Styela clava: one gene and its partner. The protein of the gene in region 2 interacts with the protein of the main gene of each other region in a biochemical or structural test. Links are inferred from orthologs where the notes say so. Each region holds a gene or a part of one and is shown on either strand. Other genes may lie near its edges.

The links.
Region 1: the proteins of mini-chromosome maintenance complex-binding protein-like (region 2) and DNA replication licensing factor mcm5-A-like form a complex in vitro, tested with the Homo sapiens proteins (2 studies listed by BioGRID). The link is inferred for Styela clava from reciprocal best matches to the Homo sapiens genes MCMBP and MCM5.

The regions. Positions count from the first base shown.
Region 1 is NC_135255.1:15,594,470-15,610,433, forward strand, and holds the start of DNA replication licensing factor mcm5-A-like, read right to left. Parts: upstream 7,280-15,964; 5' UTR 7,155-7,279; coding exon 6,976-7,154; intron 6,297-6,975; coding exon 6,170-6,296; intron 5,564-6,169; coding exon 5,435-5,563; intron 5,118-5,434; coding exon 4,945-5,117; intron 4,656-4,944; coding exon 4,538-4,655; intron 3,921-4,537; coding exon 3,789-3,920; intron 3,222-3,788; coding exon 3,011-3,221; intron 2,531-3,010; coding exon 2,370-2,530; intron 2,099-2,369; coding exon 2,030-2,098; intron 1,779-2,029; coding exon 1,638-1,778; intron 679-1,637; coding exon 502-678; intron 1-501. Other genes in the region: neuroligin-4, Y-linked-like, read left to right, coding at 8,863-8,920, 9,067-9,117, 9,757-10,005. UniProt on the Homo sapiens protein: Acts as a component of the MCM2-7 complex (MCM complex) which is the replicative helicase essential for 'once per cell cycle' DNA replication initiation and elongation in eukaryotic cells.
Region 2 is NC_135258.1:12,524,910-12,540,595, reverse strand, and holds the start of mini-chromosome maintenance complex-binding protein-like, read left to right. Parts: upstream 1-9,818; 5' UTR 9,819-9,941; coding exon 9,942-9,999; intron 10,000-11,989; coding exon 11,990-12,072; intron 12,073-12,578; coding exon 12,579-12,719; intron 12,720-13,168; coding exon 13,169-13,207; intron 13,208-13,574; coding exon 13,575-13,676; intron 13,677-14,065; coding exon 14,066-14,177; intron 14,178-14,706; coding exon 14,707-14,775; intron 14,776-15,087; coding exon 15,088-15,194; intron 15,195-15,686. UniProt on the Homo sapiens protein: Associated component of the MCM complex that acts as a regulator of DNA replication.

The DNA of each region.
Region 1 (15,964 bases), on a different chromosome or scaffold from region 2:
TACAAAAAACTGAACATCCAAATAAATTTTTTTCGAAGGTTTTTATATCCTTTTTTAGATTTTGAAAGATATTTCGAACAATCTGTGTGAATCGTGCGCATGTAAAGGTCCTATAAATTTTACAAAAGTATCAGGTTCTCACAAATTTACATCTCAGATAGTTTAGTCATGTCAATTATGTGTAATTTGCCGCCTTTTGGCAGCGCAATGACCCGGCATCGCAGATTCAAATGCTGTGCCTTCTGTCTCACCCAAAATGTAACCAATGGGCTATGTATGCAAATGGGTAGATTCAGGATTCTCCAAATTTAAAGTTAACTCCTTACGGATCATCACATATCAATGGCTATTTGTAAGGGTCTTGTTTGGAGCAAAAGAGGTGTGTAAGGAAAAACTATATCATATTCAGTATGTTAGTGGCCGTTCTCTCTCAGAACCATTACAAAATCTCATATAAAACCCATGAATAACTAAGTTTTATAACAAAATAAATAATCTTACAATATCTCTAGCTTGATCATGTTGATCTTTCACAATAAAAATCATGTCAAATCTGGACAAGATTGTCGGCATAAAATCGATGTTTTGTGCTCCTTTTGTATCATCCCATCGTCCATAAACTGAGTTTGCAGCAGCCAGTACAGAGCAACGAGAGTTGAGGGTTGTTGTGATGCCAGCCTGCGTAGATAAGATATTGGTTGAATTATTCATTGGTGGCATTAATATCTAGAACAGTGGTTTTCAATCTTTTTGGTGGAGAGGAACTAAATAAAACAATCCAGAGGTTCGAGAAACACCTGTGCAATACTTGTAAGTTGTAAGACTACAAGAAGAAGAATTGTACAAACTATAAATATATATATAAAAGCAAATCTAATAATAGCAAAACAATATGATCTTCGAGAGTATAGCAAGTTTGATAATAGCGGCAAACCTAAAAGGTATTTGATTGTGAACTGTCGTGGGTAGCGGAACACTGGATACAAATCTGCTGATCTAGAAATATACCCAACTGAAGGCATAATAATGACAATTTAACTTTACAAATTCGCACTATAGTTTGAATGGAGTAATTACCAAATGAGATAGCGATCAGAGATCGCCGATTTATCGTTTTAGTGGTGTGACAAGTGTATGTGTATCCATCGCTCAGACTCAATAGCGTGGAAACTTTCTCGATGGAAACTTGCGCATCGCACACAAACACTCAGCACATGCACGCTCTCGCCTCAAAAAATCCAGGTCATACACGTTCTCTCGCTTTGCAAAAATCTAGATCTCTTCGTCACTTATTAATTAATAACTCGCTAATTATACGACATAATTCATCCAAAATCAATAGGCTTCTGGTCCGAGATATGAATGCATATGCAAAGTTTGGAGCAGATTCAACCTCGCTTTCGTGAGATATTGCATGTATCTATCAGACAAACAAACAAACAGACAAATACCTATCAACATACTTACCGATCAAGATCGATAAATAATAAAGTTAAAATTCTCAGTAACTAATAACTACACCGAACCAGCATATAATATTAGATATAAAACTAAAACATTTTGCAATACCAATCAAATAGAAATTATGCGTAAATATGATTAACAATTGTTGCAAATAATGTCGTATACATTCCAACCTTCGCAATGGAGATAGTCTGCTGTTCCATGGCTTCGTGGATAGCAACACGATCATCCTCTCTCATTTTATCAAATTCATCAATGCATACAACACCCCCATCTGCGAGAACCATTGCACCACCTTCCATCACAAAATTTCTCTGCAAAATAAAAACATTAAATAGTAGATTACTGAAAACATAACAGTCAATTCAACATAATCACATTCGGTCGGATTATTACCCGTCCAATGGCTTACATATATATATAATTACATCTGCAAAACAAAGATTTCAAATTAATCAACTCCACAAGTCAAATTGGCGATCAAATTTACCGCACATGATTGAAACTCAATATGTTTACCGAACCAGTAAAAAGTAACAGGGGTGTGATAGATTATGCAACTCACTGTGCTCGGGTCTTTTATTACAGAAGCGGTTAATCCTGCAGCACTGCTTCCCTTTCCAGACGTGTAGACCTGGAATTAAGAAATTTTAAAAGGAGCGAGTAGGGTCGGCTTTAATGCAAATTTTTATGAATTCACTGTTTTAGTGCTGTTTTTTTAAGGGGTCGTCTTATATGCGAGGATATTCGTATTTATAATTGGGATCTCCCTCTCCCCTTAATCCTCATTAGTATGTTGGAATAAACCACCTAGCAACAGTCAACAAAATAAAGGCGATTTCATCAAAACAGATGAGCATACAAGTTACAACAAAAATACTGATATCACAATGATTATAACTTACTGCAATAGGTGATACTTGTTCCACAAATTTCAGAAGCTGAGATTTAGCTGTTCCAGGATCTCCTAACATCAATAAGTTTATATCTCCTCTTCTCGTCAATCCATCAGGAAGTCGTTTACGAGATCCACCAAACAGAAGACAAGCTATGGCTTTCTTCATATCTATGATGAAAAAAATGATGGTTAGAATTTACAACTAGATGGGCCTCTTCAGTTTTGGTTCATTGTAACTATTTTATAATGATTAGAAAACTTAACAAGATTGGTAGTACGATAAAGGATTCAGTATTAAAAACTCAGCGCTCCCATAGTATATGCACCAAGATGGCGGACACCAGAACTCAAATAAGAAAAATTGGAATAAAATTATGGTATAACCCTAACCTGGTACACATACTATGTTCAGGTGTCCGCCATCTTGTTGCACATACTACGGGATTGTTGACTAGAACCCAAATTCAGTACAGGTCAGCAAAATACTTGAGGCCTAATAATGAAAATACTCCAAACACACTCCAAAAAATCATTTAGTACTGGATGTACAAAGCTGACTAAGCTTCCTATTCCTGATACATTTAAAAGTTTTTGCATCACAAGAACAAATAACATTCCTTCTTGTTCTTATTACAAGTGCAAACTTACCATCACTTCCGAAGATTGATGGAGCGATCGACCGACTGATAACATCGTATATGTTGGGATTTTGTGTCAATCGTCTGATATTTTCTTCTTCCTCAGCAGTAAGTGAAGTCCCCATTTTGTGTCCAGTTGCTCCAGCAGTAGCCTCAACACCCAACACTCGAAGATATGGTGTCCTGATACCGACACCAACACCTCTCGCTTTCATGTTTTTCTATGATTGTGAAGAGGTATAAATGGTTGAAAATAAGAGCAGTGAACAAAACAGATTTTGGCTTTTATTGAAAACACTAAAATATATCCTTATTTACCGGTAAGTACATTATTCCAGCTTAAACTGGTCAGATCCGGTTTAATAAGACAATAAGAAACGAATTAATATATACAATCTTTAGCGCTCCGGATGTGTGTGTACCAATATGGACGTAACTAACTTTGTTCGCCTACTTTACATCAAGTTATGTAAAGGAACTGAAGCCGATGGTCAAAGGGTATATTCACTTGGCTAGCACAGTTAGTCCACGAATCCATAATAGAACTAAAATAAGGAAAATCGGAATAAAATCATGGCCTAACCCTAACATGGTGACTGGTAGACACACTACTGGAGTACCCAATCTTTAATGACATTGCCAACCATGCAGTACTAATGATCTTATTATAAACTTATTAGTTATTACCAAACCGGGAAGTTATTGGTATTTCTGGGGAATTTGTTACATTGATAGTTAAAAAAAAACACTACACATTTTGAATAAATTTTATTCAGACACAAACTTACTGATTTTGATGATACACTTGTAGATGATCCTCGTATGGCATATATTCCAATCACAGTCACTTTATTTCCTGGCACAACTTTGTCACAGAGGTAGCGGTCAATATATAGTTGCAGGTGTCTTGGCATTTCACCCTGTAAAAATATGTTTTACAAAAAATTGCATTCTAATTTAACCGGATGCCTAAATTATTGCCTATTTCACAATTACCTAGTTTTTTAGGGTTGTGAAAAAAAAGAGTCGAGACACACTAGCTGTTAATATCATGTTCATTTAACCCAGTCCAGTGTGAGTCAGATTAATTCGAAAATAACGAAGTGGTTTTAGAAATTACTTTGCACTCTCGATTGCATGTCCATGAGTAACTCAAAATTATGATACTGAGATGTTGAGTGGAGCAACTGTATGTACTGCATATATATAATAAAAATTTTATCCCATAAAATTTCAGAAATTGGATATAAATCAACAGATAAATCTGATTAAAGAATCAAAATTTGATTAACTTCCTACGAAATGATTGATTATAACTGTAATCAAATACTTGTGGTTCGCCGGAATAGCCTTAATAGGTAAACATATAATCAGGCCTACTGTAGTCTTTAGTTTGACCTGTTACAGGCAATGAAAAAACACTATTCTTGGCAGACTGCTGTTGAAGAAATAGGTGGTGATGGTGGAACAAATAAATGTGTAGAAAATATAATAATCAAATATGTATCTTGTAGACTATCTGCTTTAGCTTATTCACCTGTGGTACGGCATCTGGTGCTTCTTGAAGCTTCAAGGTTTGAAAATCAACACATTCACATTTCTCAGGAACAATGAAAAATGGATCGAGTGGACAGGGTTCTCTTCCTTGTGCCTCGCTGATGTAAAAAAATTGAAAATGAGTTACTAACTACTGAAATTTAATGAATAAAGTATGAACTAGTTCTAAGTTAATTTTCTTTCAATTCGTTCAGACTTTGAGATATGAGAACTTAGACTCCCAACTTTGGAAAGTGTAGAATAGGATGCCATCCCAGTCCAATGTTAGAAGAATGATGAGCAATCAAACATTGACGCCAAAGCATAGCTTTTGTATCACAGGGTAATACCGAATGGCATATATATAGCATCAAAAAGAAAAATGCAATAACTAAAATATTCACTGACGTTACGCATTTTCTTGGTAAACTATATCCTTCAAAACCAGGTTTCACTATAACATCATTTATTGTGGCTCGACATGATCGACATTGGAGGCCAAGTTTAATCGCTTTTGCTCGAATAGCTGTCGCTGAAACAATGATTCCTGGGACTTTGACAAGCTTTGACATCTGGTCAGCCTGCAAAGATATGACAAAGTGTTGTCAAAATACAGCTAATATTATATACAGTTTCAATCGATTGAAAACATGATAGACAGAGCAAATATTGTCATACTTTTCAAGTAGTGGAAAACATACTGAGAAGAACAATAAGTGAATAATGACATTTAATGAAGATGATTAAATAAATCTATTGAATTTAAAATTTATTAAGAGTCTAGTTTGAACCCATAGTTTTGTTCATATCTTTGACATAACTCTTAAAAAAGTTTTATAAATATTCAAAAAGGCTGTTGATATGAGTTCATGCTGAGTAAACCTCAATATTTCAATACCTTCAAGCTTCGAACAGAAGTTGGAATTGCCGTTGATTGTAGAAGTACTTGTACCGCATGAACAACTTCTTCCCCCTCTGGTCGTGGTCGAGTGACTTCATCAGCAATTTCCTTTGCAGCTTGTTCAAACTAAATAAGGTGAACACACACAGTGATATATATGAGAAAAAATATAGTATTCTAAATTTGATATCAACTACAATTGACAGAATAAAAATAATAAGCAAAATTGCTGCATTAAACTTAAGTCTCATATTCTTGTTACCTCCAGCCATTCAAGAGAAAGACAAAGTTTAAATATTCTCAGCTTTATTAAAGATGTCCAAAGTTTAAAGAAACCTATAATGATGCTTTTTCACTTTAGCTAGTATGATAATGTGAATATGTGAAAAAATTGGAAATATTAATAATTGAGTCAAGATTGAAATCAAAATTCGATTCTCAATGAACACAGTATTAATGTAGGCTATATTATATATAAACGCCCCATCTCAGTCATGTGTCTTTAAAAATTTACTATTGCTTGACAATGAGCAGTGATAAACAATTAAGTGTTTTCATATGTATTTGGGCCACCGTTATTTAAAAAGGTACTTTTCTGGAAGGAGGAAACTTTTCCCAGTTTGGCATCGCATGCTGAATTTATTACACCAGGTGAGATGATAGCCATCAGTTTCATATTTTTTTTATATCTTTAATTTGCCAAATTGAAATAGTTAAGTAAATCTTTTATACCAAAGGATGATATTCGACGGGTTGTTTCATCAAACAATCTGCTAAGTCATCATCATAAGACGCCAAGTGACCAAGATCAACTTCGACCCAATATTCTCCAAGATTGTAATTTCTTTTTAGTTGATCTCTGAAACAAATAAAGATTTGAATCCGACTGTGGCAGAAATTAGGACATACAACCGTATTAATCACTAATTGACATGATAAATGACTGGGAATTTGTTATTTCAGTATAACTTAATTGATTTTTTTCATTTGATCAAATCTGCAAATGTAAAATAGATCCATGCCTATATCCAAATAGCTATTTTCATTTATCATTCAGTCATTACTGCATTACTGCATTAGGATAAGATTTAGTTAGAGGATGGGACATACATTTATTCTGGCTGTTATAAATACCCAATTCACCCATCTACTCATACCTGCATACAGCTACGAGTCTTAATTACAAATGTTAGAATGTTAGCAAAATTTTTTATATTACGGTGTCGGTAATGCTACAATGACTAAGCTTTCAAATGTAAATGCAGAAATGGCAGGTTTACAATGCAGTATCAGAGTGTTAACAATTAGTACTTGTTCAATGTTTACATAACAAATACAATACCGGTATTGCAATTGCACAAACAGACAGACAGAAAAGTGATAAAGCAAAAAATCTTTAAGATTGAGGCATTCAAGCATTTGGATAGGATTTACATATTTATCATAACTTATGTCTGTATGAAATACCGTAATAACCAGAATAACATATTCAGATATTCTAGTAACCCCATCAAAAAGGTAAATGTTCATCATAATACCTGTAAGCATAGGTGACTCCGCCTTCAATTGTAACATGAAATTCTCTCAAGAAATCCCTCAATTTCTTTTTTATCAGCGTTCTCTGAACATGTCTGTTATCAGTTTGATCCTCAGATTGACCTCCAAAATTATCGCTGAAGAAAACTCCAGGATCATCGAAACCAGTCATAGAAGCCATAACCAAGACGATAATATAATGCTCTATAAGTATACCAAATGAAAAACAAAATACAAACGCCCTACGAAACAACACAACAAACAATCAATCCTCTAGCTGTCTTGGCTCTGAACAACTGAGGCCTTGATTTTTCGCGGGGTTGATGTCACGTGTTTAGCGTACCGCGAGAGCTACATGCGTGAAGACAGAGCCGTCGCCATTTAATTTCACTTCGTCATATAATATTTCTGCACCTTCTATAAAATGGTAAAAGTAGATTGCCAGTTAATTTTTGTTCTGTTAATTCATTGGACCATTCCTTCTTGTGAATATATTATAATTAACTGTTAATAAAGACACATATTTTCAAATACGTCGTGATTGTAGGGAAAAAAAAGCAAATATGACGTCAGTTTCAAAGTTTAGTAACATCTGTAGCAAGGAGCGATCGACGATATACCCTCTCGTAAAAGCTCATGAAAGCACCTATAGGTCATGAAACGTGAAATTTTCTGCAGCTCCCCTTCTCAGTATTTTTCATCATTAGATACATAACGTATTTTTTCCTGTTTCATTTATTTTTAAGTTAAAATTCATGATGATATTGTATATTATTGCACCATATTGTTGGTGATAGCAACACAGCAATGTCATCTCTGATGCAACTCACGATCGTAGCTAGCGTTTACCACATATCGTTATATTTCGAAAAGCTCGTTCAAAATAGCAAAGTTAGCTGTGAGTGAAAATTTAACTAGGCCAGCGAATTTCAGATAGGTAACGGCCAACGCGGAAAATTGGTACCCACGAATCACGATTAAATGTTGCTTTTCGTTCCTTACATCACATATTGATTTTATACGATTTCTTTTTTTGTCGAACGAAATCATTTCAACTTTTTCTTATACGTTATACATTGTCTCTTTATGCTTCTTGTTTATAAAAACAATCTGTCTCGTCTGAGCATGGATTCATATACCGTTAGCTAACATTTCAGTTTATGTTATAGGTTCAGTGGGTTACGTGTTTAGGGGCCACGAACCGTTTCTGTCCTTAGATAGCTTTCGTTATTAAATACTTTCATTAACAGAATAAAATTGGGGCTTTAATTTCTTAAAAAGAATTTCTTTGTTTTTTGTGTGAAAAGCACAAAATTTCCGTGGATTGTTTTTTGAGTGTATTTACCAATTAGCCAGGTCAATTAAAGATTTGTGTACAGCTAAATCCTTTGAACGTGTTTTGTGAAAAAGCTCAAAACATCATTGTAATTGTCTTTCCCCACTCGAAAAACAAATTAACAGAATATAACAATGTACATATTGAACGAGTGCAAATGACACCCCTTTTAGACAGTAAGTGGACTGTTATGACAACGAGTTTATCATTATTATTATTTCATGGAGTAACACCCAACCGCGATTAGATTATTTAACGGTCAAGTTCCATTCATTTGATATGACAACATACTCTATTGAGTGCACATGAATAAGCATATCAGCATTGAGGATTATTGTTACGCCCCCATGTAACGGTGCGCTAAACTTCTATGTAAAACACTCATCCTCTCACGCTATCTAGGCCTCATTAAAGGGAATCTTAAGCCACTTCATTTTTTGTCGTTGTTCTGAAGAGTGTGCTATATCATTTGTCCATCGACGAAATATTTTTTGTGATTGTGATTTAGGAAGAAAATAAAGTTGCCATAATTTGGCTATAAATAAAAAAAATCATGTCTGGATTTGCGAAGCTGCTTGCAGTGATTCTGATGTGCGGTACATTCATATCAGGTATATATAGCTCTAATTACTTTTTTACTTCAAATCCTTCTTGTTCTCTCATGCTCCTTCTCCCCTCCCCGCCCTTACCCTGCTGTTTTATTGTTTACTGTTACAATGTATATTTTATACCTCACCCGGGTTTTATTTTTTAACAGCAAATGACATTGATCCAATGTTGATCGAACCTCCTAAAGTATCATACGAAGGTAGGCAGAATAAAAATAATAAATTTGAATAAACTAATAGTTTAATGTGATATCATGTAATTATTATCTTTATTAACTAGTATCATTTGAAATTTTTTAACTACATAATGAATACAATGGTTACACAATTTCCAATCAGTATACATCACCTTTCCCCAACATTTCGATATGTATATGCATAATATATATGTGACCGCAATGACCCAGTAGTGCCCAAATATGTGTAATAATATATATCTCACAATCACAAATTAACAATTTCTGTTCTGAGCCATGATCAGTATCTTGTTTAAACTTTTTTCGAGACTTCAAACATAGTGCGAAAACATAGGTTTCGGTCAGTGATGGGAATTCGAAATTTAGAACAGTTTCTTTTTTGTATCGAGCTCACTGTAAACAGGTAATTTCAGAAAATCATTCCGAACCTACGGTTCTAATAACAAATCTAGTTCGCTGATAATCACGACATTCTAAGAATTAATATTTTGGTTGTACCAAACTTCAGAACCTATAAAAAAAATTCGTAGCCATAGATTGCAAAAAGTATGCTATATTTATTTGCTATGTATTATTTTCACTGTTTACTTTTGCGTAACTAATTAACATTGATTATTGTTTCATATTTACTCGGATATTTAGATATGCTAAAAGCAGCAGCCAAGTTCAATTCCTTTGAGTTTGACGGAGGTGTGGAAATTCTAGGCTACCCATCAGAGAACATCAACATGGGAGGGTTTTACGGAACATCTCAATACAACGTCGCGATGTTTCGTGGAATAAAATACGCTACGGCAGAAAGATTTGAGAAACCAACTATGCTGGACAAAATAGATGGATTAGATGTGACGGCCTATGCGACTGGTCCTTCATGTCCTCAACCCTCTGCAGGTTCGATTTTTCTCATTTAAAACAAGTTCAACATTGAACAATCATTCACATTGTTCAGAATAAAACTTTGAATATCCAATTGATATTGTTTTTGTGCGCCTTCTTCGCACTCATTAATATATACCAATATATATATATATATATATTATATAATCTCAAGAAGTTTATAAAGAGTTTCATAAATCTTCATAGCTTTCAAGAAGCCGCATTTGACGTCAGATTCTTGCACGATAGAAATGAAATATCTGAATCTAAATCATATATATATAATTATAGCTTTAACACCCATATTAAATTTTCAGGGTGTCCGACCCACTTATATCACATGTAAATGTAGCCTACTCATTTTGTAAACTCCAATGGAGGGAATAAAACTATTATTTATCGTTGATTCAATTCAGCAATAAAAAAAAAATTTGCGTAACCTCGCATAAATTTGATATCTTTTATAGATTTCGACTCCAGCATGGCCACAATAAGTAAATGATTGCATCGTGTAAACTCAATTGCAGAATTTATTGCAATATGAGCCAATTTCAATTTCGAATGTTTAAAGACAAACAAGGGATTCCGCGCATTTATGGTAGCCTACTTATCTCAAGCGACATCGTCGCCTTCTGATAATGTCTCACTTCAATGAGTACAAATCAGCCGGATGGGCAAGATTTACTAATTCGGCACACCCTAATCTTAATACGTTGGAAAAATAACTTTAAAATCGTCTGTTATGGATCTCTGAATTTCAATAACTTACCTTTGAGTTCAAATAAAAATGAAATCTGTGCTTCTCAAGTTACGGCAGGCGGTTACAAATTACCAGAATATATATATATATACATATAGTACCGAAGAGTAGAGTACCGAATCATACATATATAATGGTTATAAATATGATCGAGCCTTATTGTTCGAGCCTTATATTTATTGAAATAGCTTATTTATAGTATAATATAATGTTCGAAAACAAGCGCTTTCTGTGTATAAGTATTGAATAGGACTGGGAATGGTTAACCGGTTAACCGATTTCAGATGGCTAACGGTTATTTTTTATTTTAACCGTTAACTGACATCTCAGGTACAAACCATCTTCATACCGCACAATATCGTCAAATATGATTACGTCATCGCAAATTTATCTCTTGCGGCGTTTAATTCAAAAAAATATTACTAACTGTGTGGGTAAGGAATCAATAAATGTGAAAAATAATGGAAGCACCAGTGGCGGCGCGTGGTCATTTTGACAACCGGGGCAAGCTACTGCGGGACCAAGTCACCCCCATCTACGGGGACAGGATGAGCGCTGTAAGTTCTCCCATCATTTTATGAGTATAAAAACCATTCCATCGGTAACAACCAATCGGCAAAAGCGACAATTTTTAACGATAAGTGTCTTTAAAACCGGTCCAAGTCAAGGGATTAATAAATATAGACATAGTTTATTTTGAAACCTCTTTCAAAAGGAAAGGCAATATTTACCCAGATAAATACAATGACATATTAACAGAAACTTCGGGAAAGCAGACAAAACCTAAAATAAGGTTTAAAACGTTACTATGAAGAAAGGAAAGCTAATGCAAAGATAAGGACATGCGTCGCTCACTCATAGATATATATGCTGCTAGACTTCTACTGCTTGAACATATATGCAACACGCCGCGGTTTCTTGGAAGCAAAATGCTCAATAACGCGCTGATTAAAGTCATGCATCCCAGAAATAACGTCTCTGTGAATGGATAAAACAGCCAAGGAATTTAATCTATCTTGCTTCATTGTGTTTCTGAGATACGTTTTAATACGCTTCAGCGTGCTGAATGTTCGCTCTGCGTCGGCGGAAGAAATAGGCGTCGTTAAAATGATGTCCAGAAATTTTGCAGACGCCGCAAAGGTAGTTACTAGAGTGTTATCTATGAGGAACCCATAGAGCGCGCAAGTTGATGTGATGTTCAAAAAAGTTTGATTGGTGTATATACATCGCAATTCATTTTCCAATTTACCCACGTTTATCATGGGGAAAAATTTGGAGACAGTAGCCAACAAATGGATGGGAAATTGACGTGCAAATTTTGAAACATTTTTGGGGTTCATCAAAGAGAACGCGGCAAGGTGTTCAGTGCGCAGACGATCGCCTATTTGATTCACCAGAATGTCACAGCATTCCTTTGCAGACAAAATCAAACGCTGCGTTGTTTGCCCGCGGCGTAAAGAAGCACTCCATGTGTCGTCGTATTTTATTGTTTCCCGGATACGAGATACAGCATCGCAGAAGTCTGAAATACACGACTGCACAGACGCTCCCTCCATTAGCCTTGACTGCAATGCGCCGTATAATACATCCACGTGATAGAATATTGTGAGGAAAAAAGCGAGAAAAAATGAAAACTGACCATCTTCTAGCACATAGGTTCTCAAAGTGCTCCGTACGGAGCCCCAGGGCTCCGCGAGAGAAACCCAGGGGCTCCGCGAGCTATTCGATTACTTTTCAAAATACTGACTAATTTTGTAATTGTTCAAAGAAGAAATAACAGCTTTGATAAAATCTAACAACAATATAGCCTCGAAATATGGCAAAGAGACGGAATTAAAAAATGACATTATCTATAAGCAGGAGCGCAGCCAGGATTCTTAAGAGAGAGGTGGTTCAATTTCTGCGCAACATTCGCGATTAAAAAACGGATGAAGAGATTTCTGTTGCGTAAAATATTCAATCCATGACCGATGCGAGCATTTAAAGTGTCTCATTGTTATAATGTAATTGTGCTCATCTTTATTCACCTTTGATTCGAGATTACTATTAGGATTACTAAAATGAAAGAATACTATTCTAATAACATAAAATATGTGATAAACTGCCAACTATAAATAAATTGGAGTCGTATATTTGCGATCTTGGGATTTGTCAAACTTGATTTGTTCTTCCGTACTTGAGATTATTATTAAGCAAGATATCGCCGTTTAAAAAATCACAATGTCTGGGCAAAATACGAACAAATGAAATTTATTTTATTGCATTCGGCTACGTTGGTAGTTTCAGAATGAAAAAAGATACATCGCGGATCGCGCGCACAATTGATTGCGTGCGGCTCCGTCGGCAGTTTCAAAATGGGTAAAAAAGGTACATCGCACGCACAATTGACGCACGCACAAATGACGATTTCGCAGTTACTACGATGAAAATCTAACATAACAGCAAATTTTGTGATTTACTATGTCTATAAAAGCGTTTTCAATCTGAGGTGAGTCTGCTGAAACCAAACGTGTGAACTTTCATTTTAAGTTTTAATATTTTGGAATGCCGCTTTTCAATCGAGAAATTTGAGTTGCGGATCTACCTCTTCATTAATTATTATTTTCAGCAGTTCGTCGCCGATGACTATAAAATGGTAACATATTTTTCACATTGAACTCATAATTCCCCACGAGAACAAAAAAGCAATGAACGTCGTCATTGTGTAACAATACATGTATATATATGCCGAGGGCAATTTTGGATTTAGGGAGAATAAACACCGGTGTAAAGATTGTAGGTTCAAATACACGCCGCCATGCTGAGGAAAAAATCGGCGATTGTAACAAAATGCAATCGCGCACATTATTAGCGGCCTTTTAAGTCTTCCAAAAATGTCAAAAGGGAAAAGACTCGAACCCGAATTTATTAGTATGTTTGTCAAGTGTCAAATTTACAGCTTTAGTATATATAATTTATGTTTGAAATTTAGATATATTTATGGCTTGTATTAACTCTATTAAAAAAGGTTCAGCATTTAAATTGAGTAAAGTACTTTTAACTTGCTCAAGAATATAAATCTGGAAGTTACAATTTTAACATTTATTTTGGGGCTCCGTGAATAATAGTCAACAATTTCAAGGGCTCCACGACATCAAAAGTTTGAGAACCCCTGTTCTAGCAGACGCTTTAGACCTGCCGCCTCCCTCACAGAGCGTTCGTCCCAAACCGGAGAGCTCTGAATGCCATTGAAACACTCAATGAGCTCAGACCTAATTTCGGACACGCCCTGCACCACGCGTGATTGGAAGTTCCAACGTGTTGGTGCACACGCTGGGAGACGGCGGATACATATCTGGCGAAGGAGGTCAGAGCGCTTCGGGGAAACGGAAAAAAATGAAGAAAACCCCGAAACATTTGCAAAAAATATACGGACGAGAGGGGTATCAAGACACATATTTTTAATAACGAGGTTAAATTGGTGTGCATAACAATGTAAAAAATGCGCATGAGGAAAATCTTCTTTTATATAAACTTGAACACCATGTTTCGACCCACTCATGACTGCCGCGCCGTCATAAGTTTGAGCTATCAATTTTGACTTCGCGTTGTAAGGCTGTAACACTTCTTTCAGTACAGACGATATCCCGCAAGCCGTGCGATCAACGATTGGTACAAAGCTGTGAAATCTCTCGGTAGGTTTACCATCTTTCACAAACCGAAAAATCACAGCCAGTTGGGAAACGCACGTGATGTCAGTTGTCTCGTCAGACTGAATCGAAAGGAACTGGCAATTCTCAATTTCCAGAGCCAAATGTTGTAAATAAATTTTATACATTGAGTCGAGCAAATCATTTTGGATATCCTTAGATGTCCCTTTCGAAACAGTTGCGGCATCAAGATGATCTCTCAATACTGTATCTAGGGATGCGGTGTATTCCACCATATCCAAAAATACCCCTCTACTAGAAGAGCCAGCTCGTTCATCGTGTCCACGGAGGGACAGCTCGTGACAACCAATGAACTTCTATGAACCAATGAAACATCTATCAATCGACCGAGAACATGGCGGTTTTTCTCGACGTTTTGGTTATGCCGACGAATAGAAACCGCGCGTCCTTCATCCAACTGTGCTGCAATATTAACATTTCCGAATGTTCGGTATTTTACTGCATTGTCCAGATGCTCCATAGAAGATTGATGATCCCTGGCACGCTCGGAAAGATGTTTAAGATCTCTAAAACCAAATTTACACCAACGTGAGTCACGGGCGGTAGCAAAAAGTAGGCAATAAAAACAAAAAAGTGCATTTTTGTCCTCGCTGTAACACAACCATTCGTGTTTTTTTATACCAAGTTTCTGCGCAGAATGTACGCCGACGCTTTCCTCCGTCATGGGATTGTTCCAGTGAACAATTTTTTGGTTGATAAGGCCCAGGACGTTGTACCTCTAATTTTTGTTCCAGCGGCAGCTGCGAAAACGGAGTGCGAAGTAGTGCATCAACCTTATTCATTATGAGGTCTAAGGCTAAGAAATGCGAAGCCGGAAAGAAGTGAGGAGCTCAAAAGGAATGTGGAAAATCGAAAGCAAATGGACTAAAGGTCTCTAACTGATTCAAATAGCGAAACAAGCGACAAAAACGGAGGCGAAGAAACTATCAACTCTTCAAGCAACCAACGAACGAGAAGTTATGCGTGAATATGTCAACACGTTGTTGTAAGAAACGTCAGCATTGTGTCGTCATAATTTCGGGGCTAGCCCCGATGATTTAGTAAAAGAAACAGAAAACAAACGAGACAAACGTGGCGAGTGGAAGATAAAAGAGAGAATACGATATACAATTAGCAACCAGGGCAAAATCGGCGTCGCCCCGTCGACGTTCGGCGAAGGCTTTGCGAGCGAAAAATGAACCATGTCGGGAGAATATGGCTAGTGTAGACAGTCTGTGCAATCGATATTGAGGTATTTTTCGAATATTTTTTATTATACCGAAAAAACAACCGGGGCATTGCCCCGGTTGGCCCTATTGACGCGCCGCCACTGGCGAAGCACCAAGGTTGCTGATAATGAAAATTTACAATGATAAATTCAGAATCAGTTTTCGGTCGATTTCGAAATATGTTGTTCACGATTTCATTGCAAAATCATACAACAAGTGTGCAGTTGATGGCGTTTTTCTTATGATATATATATCTCGAAGTAGAATTTGCACATCGAACACTAAAAATTTGTCAC
Region 2 (15,686 bases):
TATTCCAAAACTACTTTCAGTAAATTGTTTTCTGTGTGAATAATCAATTTCACTTTAGAAGGTTTGAAAAATCTATTACATTTAGATAAAAAAAAAAACTTCAAAAATACTATTACAATTATTGTTAAGCGTTCGAGGGCCGCACTGGAAGTTCTCTGGGACCGCGAGTTTGAGACCCCTGGTCTAGATTGAAGTTGTTCAAAAAATATATGATAGTATTTTATCATGAATGATGGTTATACCCCTTCCGAAATTTCTTCTATAGTACTACCAAAAGTTGATGAACCAAATATAACACAGGTGCAGTGAGGTACCCGTAATCCTCATTTCCAAAGCTGTTTTAAGTATGTCTGGCGTGTTTTGTGCCTTTTTACAAATAAGACCGCTTATGCAATCTTACGCTTTGGAATTTTTAGTTATTTTCCCCAAGCCCTGCAGGATGTGGGGGCCATACACAACTCTACCAGAGGGTCAAATGTCTTTGCATGCCTCCATAGGTTGTTTTTCTATTGCAATTTTCTATTTTCAATTGCATTATATTTCTTGGAATCACACTGTCACTGATATGTCGCCAGACTTCTGATATCTCCCCGTCTGCTATAGTTGTCCTGTGAATAAATAATAGGAAATTGAGATTAGACGAATAGTTGAAAGTTTTGCTTTATGTCGGCTTAATTTCTTGATTGATATACTTACTATTTCTGCTATTGCCTCTTGTGCTGCAAGAGTCTCACAATGCTTAGACAGGTTTGTCCACAACTTTCACATCTGAAGAAAGAGAGGAGATTTATTAATTTTCGTTAAGAATAAATAAAGCAGTCTATATGATTCAGAATGGAAAAGCTAATAAATCCAATATCTCATGTTTTATTTAAAAAATATTTTACTGAATTTGGTATATAAACCAACTAATAAAAGGGTTTAGTCAGAAAATTACAAGCATTCGTGGCTCCAAATACTTGAGAAATCAGACTATACAATATAGACCGGTATGAGTGAAATGTTAGGTGAACTTGTTAACACTTTGATTCAATACGCAAATAAAAGTGAATGCGTAATAGTATGTTACAATGAGCAGCAATCAACAATGAGTATATATCCTCACTGATTAAAAAAATCTAACTGGAGGTGCATGAACTATTTGAAACCATAAGGGGTAAGTAAATATGTAATTTCGGCAAATGGGCAACTACGTACCGTACTGAATTAATAACTTCGTAGTATTTGACAAAGGCTGGCTTTCCCACATGTACTTAACAGTGCGATGCCCGGGTGTGATATACAACAATAGTATTCACCTTACCTTTTACCGATTTCTTTTTACCCCAACTTTCAAAAATATCAATAAAATCGACAACAACTGTCAAAGCAGGCACGAACACCATTCGTGCTACGCCTTGAAAGCAGCACACATCCGCTCGTTTTCGTCTCGTCAAGTATGTGCATTGGAGCGTGCTATCGAATACGATCTTCGGACAAAAATGCCGGAGTTGCGCATCATGTTGTTTAATGTCATTGGTCTGAGTCCAATTCACCTTGGTTGACTTTTATATAAGAGTACATTACTGTTTTATTCTTTATATTTAACTTTAGTCTTATTTCGGTGATGTGCAGAGCGTGTTATATTGATGGAATATATATTTTTAAACATAAAAAATAATGTAATTGAAACAGATTAGCTATTTTGGGGATTTTGGATTGTTTGGTTTTCAGGACTGGTACATATAGACAAGTTGCAAAATTGCGTATGTCCTCTAGCCATAGACCAGTGGTTCTTAAACTTTTTCGAGCGCGACCCAAATCTGAGTTTTATGAATACTCGCGACCCAATCCTAAAAAACGCAAAATGTGTTTTTAATGTTAGTACAGTTTGACTCAAATACAGACAACTATTTATTAGAAACAGTCCATTGACTCAGTGAGATTGATGAAACTGAAATTTCTTTTTTCATTATATCTTCAATACACAGCTCTATTTTACTTAACGCAATACGCAAGTTGTCACGGGTATCGAAGCGTTTGCGAGCTTAGTTTTTTTGATAACCGTCAGTGCCAAATATCCTCGCTCGCACAAGTGCCTTGTCGCAAATTGTAGCAGAAAAGGCGTCCGCTATCCGTCGCAAACACGACATCCTAGCTGGCCTTCGGTATCTCTCGCAATATACAACTTTTTACTCGTCACATGTGCACGCACTGCTTCGTTCGCGGTAAATGGTGCCTCGAGATGAAGTCACATTTTCTCTAGATATTGAATAATCTAATGTCGAGAAGCGAGCTTTTTCATTGCGTCGTCTATTACAATTTTCATTACAGATATAGCTGAGACATATAGACACATCGGAATTATGTTGTAGTGCTTGGTTACGTCATCCCACAATTTGGTTACGCCATCAGACAATTTTGGTTACCCTGGTCCACAATTCTGTTCCCACATTTTAGTTTAGCGTGCTGCAAATTTGATTAACGAGATTGGTTTTGATGTAAAAGATCGTGGTATTAGTCCCATGTCTGAATTCATTAGGTATGCCCTGCTAAAAATCCCCTAATCGCTGTAAATATATGCACGAATAAGCCTATGACCACCGCGAAATTGTGGGATGGCAAATTGTGGGCTAGAGTAGCCTTGGTCATACATAGGACTTATATAACCATACCACGTTGTGCGAATCGAGGCATCTGTTTAACACACTGATTCACACGAACAGACAAACAAATGATCAACCTATTTCAGTATTTATTGTTACAGCGTTAAATCGTAGTAGTATATATATATTTACGGTTAAAGTACGGTATAAAATGAGATTTATTGACAATTTAAAGATTATTGAACCCCACTATGGTACAAAAATATAACAATACCTTACACAAGACAAACACATAGGACGGAAATCCAGGAAGGTTGTCGAAAATTAAAATGAGATTTGAAACATAAGACATACTTTTTTCTTTTGGAAATTTCGACGTCAATTTCAATCGCCAGCACGATTTAACCACGCAAAAATAGTTTCAAGTACGAAAGTACATTTTTACTTCTCGCTGTCGCAGAGTGGCATATGGAAGTAAGGTCGGGCGAGCCTCGTTCATTCATTCAAAAATAACAGGGCTCTAAACATTGACGTATACACCTCCTCACCTCATTGCTCTGAGTTCCATGAGACTCGATATTTAACAAAAAAAAATCCACGGGATGCATCTTGATTTGTGCTAAACGGCCATAGGGTGGTTTGTGTGACCGCTGGTGGTTTGCGTGACCGCTGGCGAGAAATAATCGTTTTCGGGTCTAATAATGGAATATTTCATGGCGTGTTACTAGATTGCTGCTGACTGCCCCTATCATAAACTAATCATGTACATCAGTTTCCAAACAACATTATTCAACTTTGCATTAATGCCCTTATCCGACCTGTCATAACGTTCCTTTATATTGTTCATTGGACCAGTAAATTAGAATAACTTACTTACAAAACTTACTATCAATTTTTGGCAACGCCTGTCAACGCGAATATAAGAATACATACTGACGATGCCATTTTATCGACTTTTTGTTAATTGTCAATAACTGGATAGATATGCATATAATCCATGATTCGGCTTATTAACTCCGCAGAATAATCAGAGTCGCCTATACGACTGTAGCCTGCAGGGATGTTGCAAAAATTTCAGAAGTTGTCGAAACATGTAGAATTGTAGAAGTCACCAAAGTCCGTCGGGAGAGATAATATATATACAAACTGTTAATAGTTTCAACCGTTCTATGTTGGTTGAAAAGGCGAGATATGCAACATTTAGCAGGCTGAGACTGTATTAACTACACTATTACCTCTATTCGTACGCAGTAATATTTTTTTGGTTAAAATTTTCATAAAACTTTCACGTTTATACGTTGAATATTCTTTACAATTGAAAAACTAAAATCAAAAGAAGCAATGTCAACAAATGAAACAATACGTGGCACGGAAGATGATCATGATTGTGGAATTTTTCAGTAAGTATATTATATACCAGGAATGGCGAACCACTGACCCGCGGGTCACAAAGTGACCCACCGAGTTTTATTCGTGACCCGCCAATGCACAAATAAAATAAAAAAAATGCTATCATATCAGTACTCAAAATTGATAAAACCGACCTTAAATTAATTTAACAATACTTGAACTATTATAATGTATCGTCAGTTGGGCAGTCAGGGCTGCGATCGCTCATATTCAAATTATTATTTATTGGTCGGTATGGTAATTTTCAAAACCCCTAATCTTTGACGCATGTCTGCACCGCTGTGTACCGTTTTTCAGCTATTGGCTCTGATATCGTTTTTGACATAACAACGCAATTGATCTTTTCATTTCTCGCAATATTTTGTCTCTTTCGGAAGCGCATCTGCAGACTGTTTTGGGGGTTATACGAGAGCTAGATGCTACTAAGTTGCATTTTATTAGTTTCTCGACTACAATACCGTTGAAAAAAAATCATTCAGACTCGGAATAAAAACTTAGAAATCTGAAATAACGATGGGGAAGAGTAAAAGTGCTTTAATGTGGTTGAAAGCTGTTCGAAAAATATAACACTATCAGAGTGGAATTCCCTCCAAACTCTTTGGAACCGTAAAATAATTTTCTTTATCATCCTTAACATTTTTGGTAATTTATATGCGTTTTTTCGTACTATAATTTCATAAAATCGAGTGCCATAAAAAGTCCCTGCTAGAAGCGCTGCATAAGTGAAGCCCAAAACTACACCAACACCAACAAAAGCTTATAAGATTTGTTTCAGAAGTTTCTTACAGATATCAAACTTTGATTAAATATCTGTGACCCACTCTCTTCTGCTCCGCGACCCATTTTTGACCCATTCATTGAAAAAGGTTCGCCATCCCTGTTATATACAATGACATGAGCCACGCGTGAAAAATACTTCTTCCCATATCAGTCAGTTTTTAACCGTTCTAGTCGGGGTAATTATTTAAAAATATTATGCCGCAATCACTTCAAAGTTGTGCAGCGTAATAAATATGACCTCGATTACAAATAAGACATTGAATACAAATCAAGTGATAATAAATGAACATAACTATACTATTTTACAGTACGAGTCTACCATGGGTGGCACTGGCAGTTCTCGTTGCACTGACGGCTTACTTTTTCAAATATGCGAATGTGAAGGTTTTCAGTAACAACAGCTGGGGACCTTGGCAAAGGAATCAACAGACAGAGGAAGCTTGACATGGAAAAACTATGTTTTTTATTCATAATAACATGCCATAACTTGGGTAACATGTATATAAATCTGTTATTCGGTGAATAAGGTTCTCCTCCAAGTATATTGAAGATTGAATTATCTCTCGTAATCCTGTTTCAATCCTCTATCAGCTTTTTTCAATTTGGACAAGACGCTCTAATCGTCGGCGTACTTCCATTCTACTGAATCGATTGACTGAACCCTGGCTCTTAATTAGTCTATCACAAAGTACATAATTGTCGTGTCCTTCTAAGCAATACGTAATAGTTTTTGTAGTAGCAATTTTTGTGTTGAATTTGTGTCAATCTTATTTTGATCTGAAATGACTTCCATATTTTCTTTAACTGACCGACTTTAATCAAATGACCTCAACAGTATTAAATCTTCCATGTGTCTCGAAATAGTGTCGACTCAATTTTATCCATATCGTTTTCATAATATTTAAATTACATCGTATTTTTATTACCGTATTTTTTTCTTCTTTTACTGCCACATGAATGTTCAAAATACATTGAACTTGGAGGGCCAGGAGCCTCGATGACTTTCGCCGGCCTTGTAAACTGACCAACATAAATAATTTAATCCGAACTGTGAGTTTTATGTTCGGTATTGCATATATTTGCTTGTTGGAGTTTGTTGTTTTGCGAAATAAAATTCTCTTGTATGTATGTATTCATTAGCTCTGATAGCAACTATCTACTGGTTTTGGGGAAACTCGCGCCATGTTTTCAATGTCCTCGTAAAGGGAACGTAATGGCTTGTCTCGAACTCGGTTAAGCACCTGGGAGATTTTCCTTAAGACTCGAAAAAAATTGCTAGTGAGCCTGGAGAAACCAATCCGGAAAAGCAAGATTTTCTACATCGATTGATGTCATTGAAATTCATTAGATTGTTACAGCAACAAATAGGAAGTGATAATACCGATGTGAATACTTTCGATTACTAGCTTAAATAGTAGTTAGATTCTTGAAATAAAAAGTTCAGACTTACAGTGTCAATGTGACTCATAAGTATTGATTTCGCTGTTGTTTATGATTTTTTTATGACTCGAGACTCGTTTTGCAAGTCGGGACTTGACTCCTTAAACTAGGGAGCGCTGCTTCTCAAACTCGGATAGCCTGTGAATTGAATTTACTCGCCGTTTAGGGGTTGCAATCCGCCACTGCTTATCCACTGTTTGATTTGGGAGACTTACTCAATGTTGCAGTTTTCATTGTCTAGTACTTCTGAGTTTTTTCAGGGCTATCCATTGTATGTCGTCCATAAATCAGTATCAAATCAATGAAAATATTTGGGTTATTCTGCCGTAAATGACACAACGCGAAAATCCGCAACATGCACCCGAGGCCCGGGTCGAGTAGTCACTGAAATTCTAGTAGCTGATATTTAGAATTTATTCTGGTTTGAAAGTATACGCAAATAATTATACATGTGTATATAATTTAACGCATGGGTGGGCAAATTACGGCCTGCGGGCCGGATCCGGCCCACCTGGGTTTTCATCCGGCCCACTTGTGACTGCTGAAATTATGACTATGCTTTTGTATGAATATAAATTTCCGTTGAAGGTATCGATGATATAAATTGACATTCCTTCGAAAATATCGATAACGGATCGTCAGCTAAAGTAAATACCTTAATTCCCTACGCATGGACGTTTCTCCGACCATCGATTTCCTCGGTTATTTCCGTAACAATGACAAAGCAGCAAAAAGTTTACGATGACGTAACAATTAAAATTTTTGCAGCCGCTTAGACACTGCAGTTGCTCAGACAGATATAAAAACATGGTTGTAAACATTGCCTAGTTTTTGAGATTTTGCGTGGTATTTGTCGGTTTTTAGTTGCGATTTCAAAAATTAGTTGTAAATGATGTATTTTAATTGTCACCATGTCTTTCAGTTAGCTTCAGTTTAGTTGCAATAATCAAAAATTAGTATCCGGAAAACTGCGATAGACTCGGCTAAAACGATTAGTACGTATAAGCGGCACGTGGTTGTATATTTTGATAAAATTGAGAGTTTGAGCATGTAAATCAGTTTGTAAGCGTCAACTCTTTAAAACACTTGAAAAATAGGCATCTACACTTTTGCAGTAATAAAGTATAGGGAGAATTTTTTGGTGTCAAGGGTCTGGAAAAGGTCCATAAAAAGCACCTGAATATAATGTGCAAAATCATTCATCCGAATTATTTATGCCATTCAAAAACTTTAGGCCCGCAATTTTTTTTCGTGAATGCCCCAACAATTGGGCAATTGAGCATTTTCGAGGATAAGGAAAAATCCTCTGGCCCAGTAACCAAGTCTAATATCCGCATCCGGCCCACTCAGGAAAGTAATTGTCCACCCCTGCTTTAACGTGTCAGCGAATGATATAAACTCTTCTATATTAAAACAATGAACAAATTGTAATCGGCGTAAAATGGTGATAGAATTCATAACCAGCAATGCCATTATAAGTTCTACGATAGAAGTGACCGACAGACTTGATTTATAAGCAGGGAATCCACACCGTCCTTATTCCTGAGATTTATTCTTATTTTTAGCTTGCGCCCTTATATTTGGCTTGCTTGTCTTTATTTTGTCTTATTTGGACATCATAAAGGAAGCTTTGTGTTGTTTGTTTTATCGCCAAAGATTTATTGTGGCATCATAAAAGCACACATTCTTATTTGGAACACGAAAAAGCAAGGCACAGATAGGCATGAAGCATTGTTAGTGTGGCGATCCTTACGTTTTGTCGTGGTGGTGGTGGTTATTTTAGCCTAAATTTCAAAATGAGCAAATGTAAGAACGTTTTTGGTGAGTACAGGAGTAGCCTACAGGAAAAAATTCAAAGTTAAACGAGGCTTGATAGATGAGTGCTTTGCACACTGTGACGTCTGTAATTGTGACATTAGCCTGAAGGCCAGGAAAGCAAGCTATTTCTGCTCACAATGCAGGAATTTTTCCAGTCGTCCTTATTTTGGGTTCCAGATCGATGGAATCAATGTTTATGAGTATAGGATTGTTTTGACTTCATAATCAGATGAAAGACGGTAATAAGACAATAATTGATGAAAACAGATAAATATTTGATAAAAACAATCGATTACGGAATCAGAAGGGCGAACAAAACCTTGAGTAAGGTTTAAAACGTACATTTTTTTATTGAGGTATTGTCAAAAGAAGTGGTAGCCTACGCGTTTGCTCAAGACTCTTGACACGCATACATACAATGATGCAGACAAAATAATATCAGACGAGAGTAAAAAAGACACAAGATATATTACTTGGTAAAAAGAGAAATATATATACAAAAACATGTATTAATAAAAAAAATTTTTGCCTTACCATATACCGTATATATTAATAATTTTGTAAGGATTGCCGAACTGGATACCGATTTAGTTGACAGGAGTGAAATTGTAGAAAAAAAATTCTGAAAAGATATCGTCAAGCTGATTATAGTTGGAGTCTTCTAAAGCCAAATTGCTAAGTTGGATGCATGAAGAGGTGGGCTACACTTTACTCACCAAAGCCAAATTCACCAAGTCCATATTATATCAAATATAGTCATAGTCAAGTTTATTTCTTCCCATATCGTGAATCAGTGTATGTAATTATAATTAAAAAATAAAATAAAATAGGGCAGTGTGGTACTGAGGTAGGAGAATGAGTTATGGGAATATACAGGTTATCAAAGGTTGAAGCAAGGTTTTCATATTCATCAATCAGTTAATTTTATTTGGTCACTCTGATAGAAACAAAACAACAACAAACGGATGTGAGACGTGTATTTGTAACACAACAGTGCTTTTCCTACAAAACTATGGAATAAAAAACACTCGCTGACGTGAAATGGTGATGCTGAGCGCCTAGTTCAATTTCATTGCAGAAATAACACAGTGACAAAAAGTGTTACTAAAAAACAAGCTCGGTAAATAGATTGAATGTTCCATAGCAGTCTATGCACAAATCATGGATTGGGATATCGGGTCCTTTTGTCGTTCTCGATAAGTTCAATTTAAAATCATCGTATCCGTTCCAATGCTTCCAACATCAATATCGAATTTCCACGAACGACCACAATTGCAACAGGTGCAGCGGTCCCATCTTTTCACATTAATTTTGGACCCGAAATTATAATAGAGGTTGTCGACTACTAGGATGAGTTCAAATTTAACATGGATGATTCATCAGTCTTTGCAAATTAAATCGATGTGGATACCATTATTGTTGGACAAGTTAGCTGTTGCATTGATTTTATCATCGCGAGACGACCAGGAAAATGAAAGATGAATCTGCGAGTAGAATGTTTAATGGCATATGTATGTGATTATTGTTGCCAGGTTCTATAGTTACTATTGAATTATCGCACACATTCCAATTTTTTTTTTGAGATTAAATAAAACTATCAGGTATAACTTTTTTCTAATGAAATTACAAATGAGCCTGCATAAAAATACAACAAATATAATAATAAATTCATTATATGAATCCTAACGGAACATGAATATTACTCAAGGAAATGGCAACATTGATATTTCGCGCGGTAAAAGGTTCCCTGTATATATTTTTTTATAATCCGTTTGGTTGTTGATATGCATCCACTTGGCACGTGTTATTATTGTTCATCGCTCAGAGTACAGAAATAGCCTACTGACTTCCCCTTAATTCTGTGTTTGCCGAAGACATACCCGTAAACTTAAAGAAGCCTGCGACATCATGCCTTGCATAGAGAACTGGCAGAAGAAACCGTTAAGCATTGTTCAAAATATTTTCGGTGAGTACCGTAAAAGCGCCTAACTTCGGACAGTTCCTAACTTCGGACAAAATTTTTGAACGGCCATATCTTGGCTAAAACGGGGCATATATTGCTAATTTCAAATATTATAGGTAGCGCTGTTATATCTACATCTATTCTCATCTTTTTAATGTGGCATTATAATTTTTTTGGTACAAAAACGGCAATTTTGCCGAAAATTGACTGCCCGGCATTCAACGGCGCAGAGCGTCGCTCCTACTAAAGCTATCATCGTCAAAATACCATCATTCGGTAGAGGGCGATAACAATGTATATAATTTATTTGAGTGATCGCAAGATGTCGTACGAGATTTAAATAAAACCTAAAATTCTGAATTATAAATTCCGTAAGAATATTAAGATTTCACGCAGCGTCAACAGTTACGTCAACCTCACGTAGATTATTTTTCGCTCACTTCCGACACGACGTCACACTGCGTCGCGGAAATGAATTTTGACGCCAGACACAACGGCGCCAATATGACAATTTTCGTTAAGATAAAGACGGCATTCCAATGTAATATTTTTGTATTTTGTTCGGTCCATGTGTGAATATATGCCAAAATTACATTAATAAAAATACATGTCACACTTAATCGATGACGTTAAAAATCGAATATATAAAACTGTAAAAAATCAAACGTCCGTATGGCACAGTGTACTGACTTAACAATTATTTTATGATTAGTAGTCGAAATGACAGTTATTTGAATACGGCCTGGGTGAATTTTATTCACTCGAAGTTAAAAATCAACAAATAAACGGGACTTATATGTTAACGAAATTAGGTTGAACTTTAAATTAAACTTTACAATCGGATTCACCGTGTGTTTGATATAAATTATCACTTATAAAGATTACCGCGCAGAATAAACCAAGCTATCCGTCGAGAATATTAATACTTCAAAGACTTCGATAGAAGCCCGTTAAAATATTTCATTGTGGATTGAAACGGTTTGCATCAGATATATTTACGTATGTATTTCCTGATTAAAATGACTAACGTGTTGTAATACTTATCTGACGTAACGAACGAAAGATGTAAACATAGGACGACGGAAGTTTCAAATAATGCATTTTCGTCGTGACGTTAATGTTACGTTACGACGACGATCGAGCGTCTTATCTTCACGCAACGACGTGATTACGTCATCCGCATCGGAAGCCTCTCTCTCTGAGCGTCGCGGTTACGCAGTGAAGAAAATGACTGTCCGAAGTTAGGGCAGTGAATGATAACGGTCAGATGGCAAGAAAAATAGATTATTTCAATAGTGAAAATAGTCCAATTGAACCGAAATTTGCAGGGAATCTAAATTACCGCACGAATGTTTTACCGAGCAATTTTGGCACCGTTTGGACAATAAATGGCCGAGTTATTGACGAAAATATAGTAATTTTGTCCGAAGTTAGGCGCTTTTACGGTACGATACCGTAACCTGGTAACTGGGTCTAGCGACTGAGCGAAGTAGGTACACGCCGTACGGTACCGGTAACTATATAAAATGGCACCAAACAAAATTGTGACTTGCATTTACCGCTGAAACTGCTTCATTAATGCCAAACAGAAATGTGATGTGAAATTTTTAGGGTTGGTCCATGTAACCGCTGGTTGGTTAGGGCTTTCTCCACTATCAAGTCCATGCTGGCATGCGTCTGAAAACAAATAACTGGCTACCGCCGTACCGGTACCAGGGTACCGCCGTACCGGTACCAGGGTACCGTAATAAATTTCATTCAAAACATGTATTACAAATTTCTTGCTATCGACTAGGTCTTATTTTAAGGGGAGGGCTTATATTAATATCATATTGAAAATTCAGGCTAGGTACCATTTTCGGGTAAACACGGTAGCAACAGACCAAACAAGATCTGAAGAATAACATACCCTAATACAGTAATAATACTGTAATATCTACATAACACTGTTATATTTGCCGCTCAAATGTTTACTGATGTTTTAAATCTATAGAAAATCGCAGTAAAGATGATTGGATCTCAGAAGTTGCAAAATATTTTGAATCACGTTTGAGTAATGAAGAAAATATATCAGTGGTGAGTTATGGCAGTGTTGTAGTCTTATATGAAAACTTGTTTAATTTTCAAGCATGTTTAACTCATAATTTTGTAATTGTTATAGCTTATCTATCCGTCTGTGCAGTCATTTAAATGTGACAAATAGTATACCGGTACCTGTAATATAAGCTTTTGTTGGTTGTTTTGTTCATTAGGCCTACTGCATAATCCGAATCAATATTTTCTAAATCTCTGAAATTCGAACCATGGTTCTTACCTGGATCCAACACCCAACACCTTCCAGATTAATGAATTGAAAATAGAGTTCAGCATTTGATCGCTTGGTCTTATTTACGCTGTATGAAAAGCAGATATTTTGGTCAATATATTTGGAATCAGAGAGTATATTGTTGTACTTTTTTGATATATTATATATACTATCATTCCATATGTGATTGCAGTAGCCTTCATTTTAAACTACTTAGATACAAAAATTTAACACAGTACTGGATAATTTTAGCACGCTTCTCTTTCTACTGTTCTAGGTTCCTTCTCTCAATGACAAACCGATTCATGAAATTCAGCCTAACTGTCTCGTTAGATTCAGATGTATGGTGCAAGACACATTCGACAATGAGTTTTTTCTCGAAACCTACAATATCACAGATAAAGTGAAGGGTGAAACAGTAAGTTGTAATAATAACTGGTATCCACTACCATAATTACCCAGACTGGGTTCAGAGGTACAAATCCAGTGACGAATAATTCGTGTCCGAGGGGATTTTTGAAACTGAACAAGCGGAAATGGTAGCCTTATGATTATTTTATCCTATAATTTATAAACAATCCTATCTGCTGAATAAATATGAAGGTTCTGTAATACAGTGTAGCATCTAAAATAAGAGCTTGAACATTACTTAAGTTGATAAGTGATAACATTGAGATATTGGAAATATTACCAGATATTTTTGTATGAAACCATATCAAATTAGCTAACTATTCCTATCTATTTACCTCTAGTATAAGCATGAATTTATTTTTTATTTTTTACATAAGTTTGCATGATAATAAAATTTTTTGCATTGAATCATCAACTCTATGATTCATTCATATTGTTTTTGTTTGGCTTGTCTAGGTGATGAAGACCAGTTGCTTCCAGGACTTGATTGGACCAGTGAGTATCAAATTATGTCAATATGGTATTTGATTGAAGGTTCAGTTTCTACAAATAAGTTTTTTTTCTCTCTGTTGGTAGTAGGCTAGTTTATAGTACAGTGCTAATGTTAATTCATTGATGGGGTCTGGTCCTGTTGTTTTTTAAATGGGTTGTCTACACTCTTACTTAGGTATTTCAAATCGATTGATGAGGCATAAATTGATTTTATCAATATGACAGCTTTTAATAATAATTGACAATATTGTCATCTAAACTTTAGTATATTATATTTATTATGCGACAATATGTGCGTGGATTCTTATAATTGACACTGATGTTTGCTAGACCTGCAATCACCTGATGTTTCTACCTTTATTTTTTGCAGGGTGATTATGACATTGATATGTCTTCAGATAAAAACAAGACAGGAATGAGACAAATTCTATATTGTGTATCTATACCTGCAGAGACAGATTGGGTTAAAGAGGTGAATTTTAACATTGGATCTGCTTTCATATTACTGACATTTACAAATTGCAATATCCACATTTGATCAAATACTCTGATGATGGAAATTGTTCAAAATTTTAGATATTGCTCAGGATGCAACAATACCTTTTAAAACTTTTTTGGGTTACCTCCGTAGTATGTGTACCAGGTTAGGGTTAGGCCATAATTTTATTCCGAATGTCCTTTAGTTCTATAACGAGTTCGGGAACTGTTTGTTTACCCCCTGCCCATAGGCTTCCGTCCCTTTGCACACTTGATGTGAAGTAGGCGAACAAAATTGTTTATCTCCATATTGGTACACATACTTCTGGAGCGCCTCTTCTGTATGCTATTTTTATCTATTCCCAACAAATTTGTTGTTTCTAGTCATGGAAGTCAGTGTTCACTTCAACCAAACCAAACAAGGAAGAACCAAGTACGAGTGGACAATCAATTAAAAGGAGCCGTGATGAAGATGATGACACAATGACTGTTGAAGGTAATCTGTTTTTGACATGTAATTGTTTGGTCCTGTGATTTGATTCAATTTAACATATGTAGTTTTTATTATGTAATGGTTTTATAATCACTACACTTAGTATTGCATACTCTTCAAGCTGTCTTATTCAGGAAATTGATAAACTGATTGTGGCTAAATGATAAAAAGGGGTAAATGCCTTTTGGTAATTTTTAAGGACTTGTTTTTTACACTTTCAATCTGAAACAGGGCTTTGTAGAAACAGCACCTAACACAAAAGCAACTACTATTTTTATAATATCTCTAATATTTCCGGTTCTTCTCGCTCAATTTACCACATCCTAGGTGAAATGGCGGGCATGAGATTTGAATTCGAGCATTTTGAATTGCGGCACCAATATAGGCCAAGTGTTCTAACCAATAGATCGTCAAACCCACATGTTTTGATGCTCCCATCAGTCCCATGTCTTCCCATTTGTGAATCAAAAGCCTTAGCACAAAATAATGGTCATGTATAAATATAATATTATATATCTTGATGATATTTCAGAAGGCAATAAAGATCAAGGTGATAGAGATTTTGGAAGCAACAAGAGAGCCAAGCCTTCTGCTAATTCAGGTAATCTTTTCTTCTTCAATTAGAATCATTTCTGCTTGGTGCTTTGTGATTATTCATGGTGGTGAGTCTGGTGATCTCTTTTCGAGGATGTCAATCTTTTCAGTTAAAGTAAAAAAGTAATTAAAACTGAAATATCTAATTGATGCTACTCGTTATTTCATTTTAACTTAGAATACAGATTATTAAAATTACTTTTTTCCTATAAAACCACTACTATGATTTGTGTTATCTGTTTGAGAATAAGAAATCGGCGGTGAATATATTGAACATGATTCCATATTTGATCTATGTATTCTTCTTTTATACTTCAAGGAAGGAGCAGTAGTGCTGCAGAACCATTGAACAAGAATCATCCTTTACCTGATGAAAACGGTCCTGTTTGTCTCGTAAAAGTTTATGATGAATCAGCTGATTTTAAGGTAAATAAATCAGATTGAATTTTTAAAATTAATGTAAAAGGTATTACTAGGCTTTTAGAAAAGTTAGAATTATATTATCAATTCTGATAAGAGCGGTTGAATTTTAGTGCCTTGCTTTATACTTAACTTTTCCCAACAGGCATTTTGACAGAAATGGTCTGAATATTGGCAACTAAATTGAAACTAAAAACGGGGCTCCCGAAGTATGCGAACCAAGATGACGGACATCGGAATGTAATATGTGTGCTAGGTTTGGGTTAGGCCATAATTTTAGGTATAAATACTACGGGAGGCTCTTGGCTAGTCTTCAAACTGATAATAGGACTAAAATAAGGAAAATTGGAAAAAAATTATCGCTTAACTCTAACCTGTTACCCATGTTACGTTCCGATGTCCGCCATCTTGGTTCGCATACTTCGGGAGCACCCTAAAAACTGCTTAAAAACTGTTTTTATTGAACAATGATACCCACCGTCATTGGCAATGTTTACA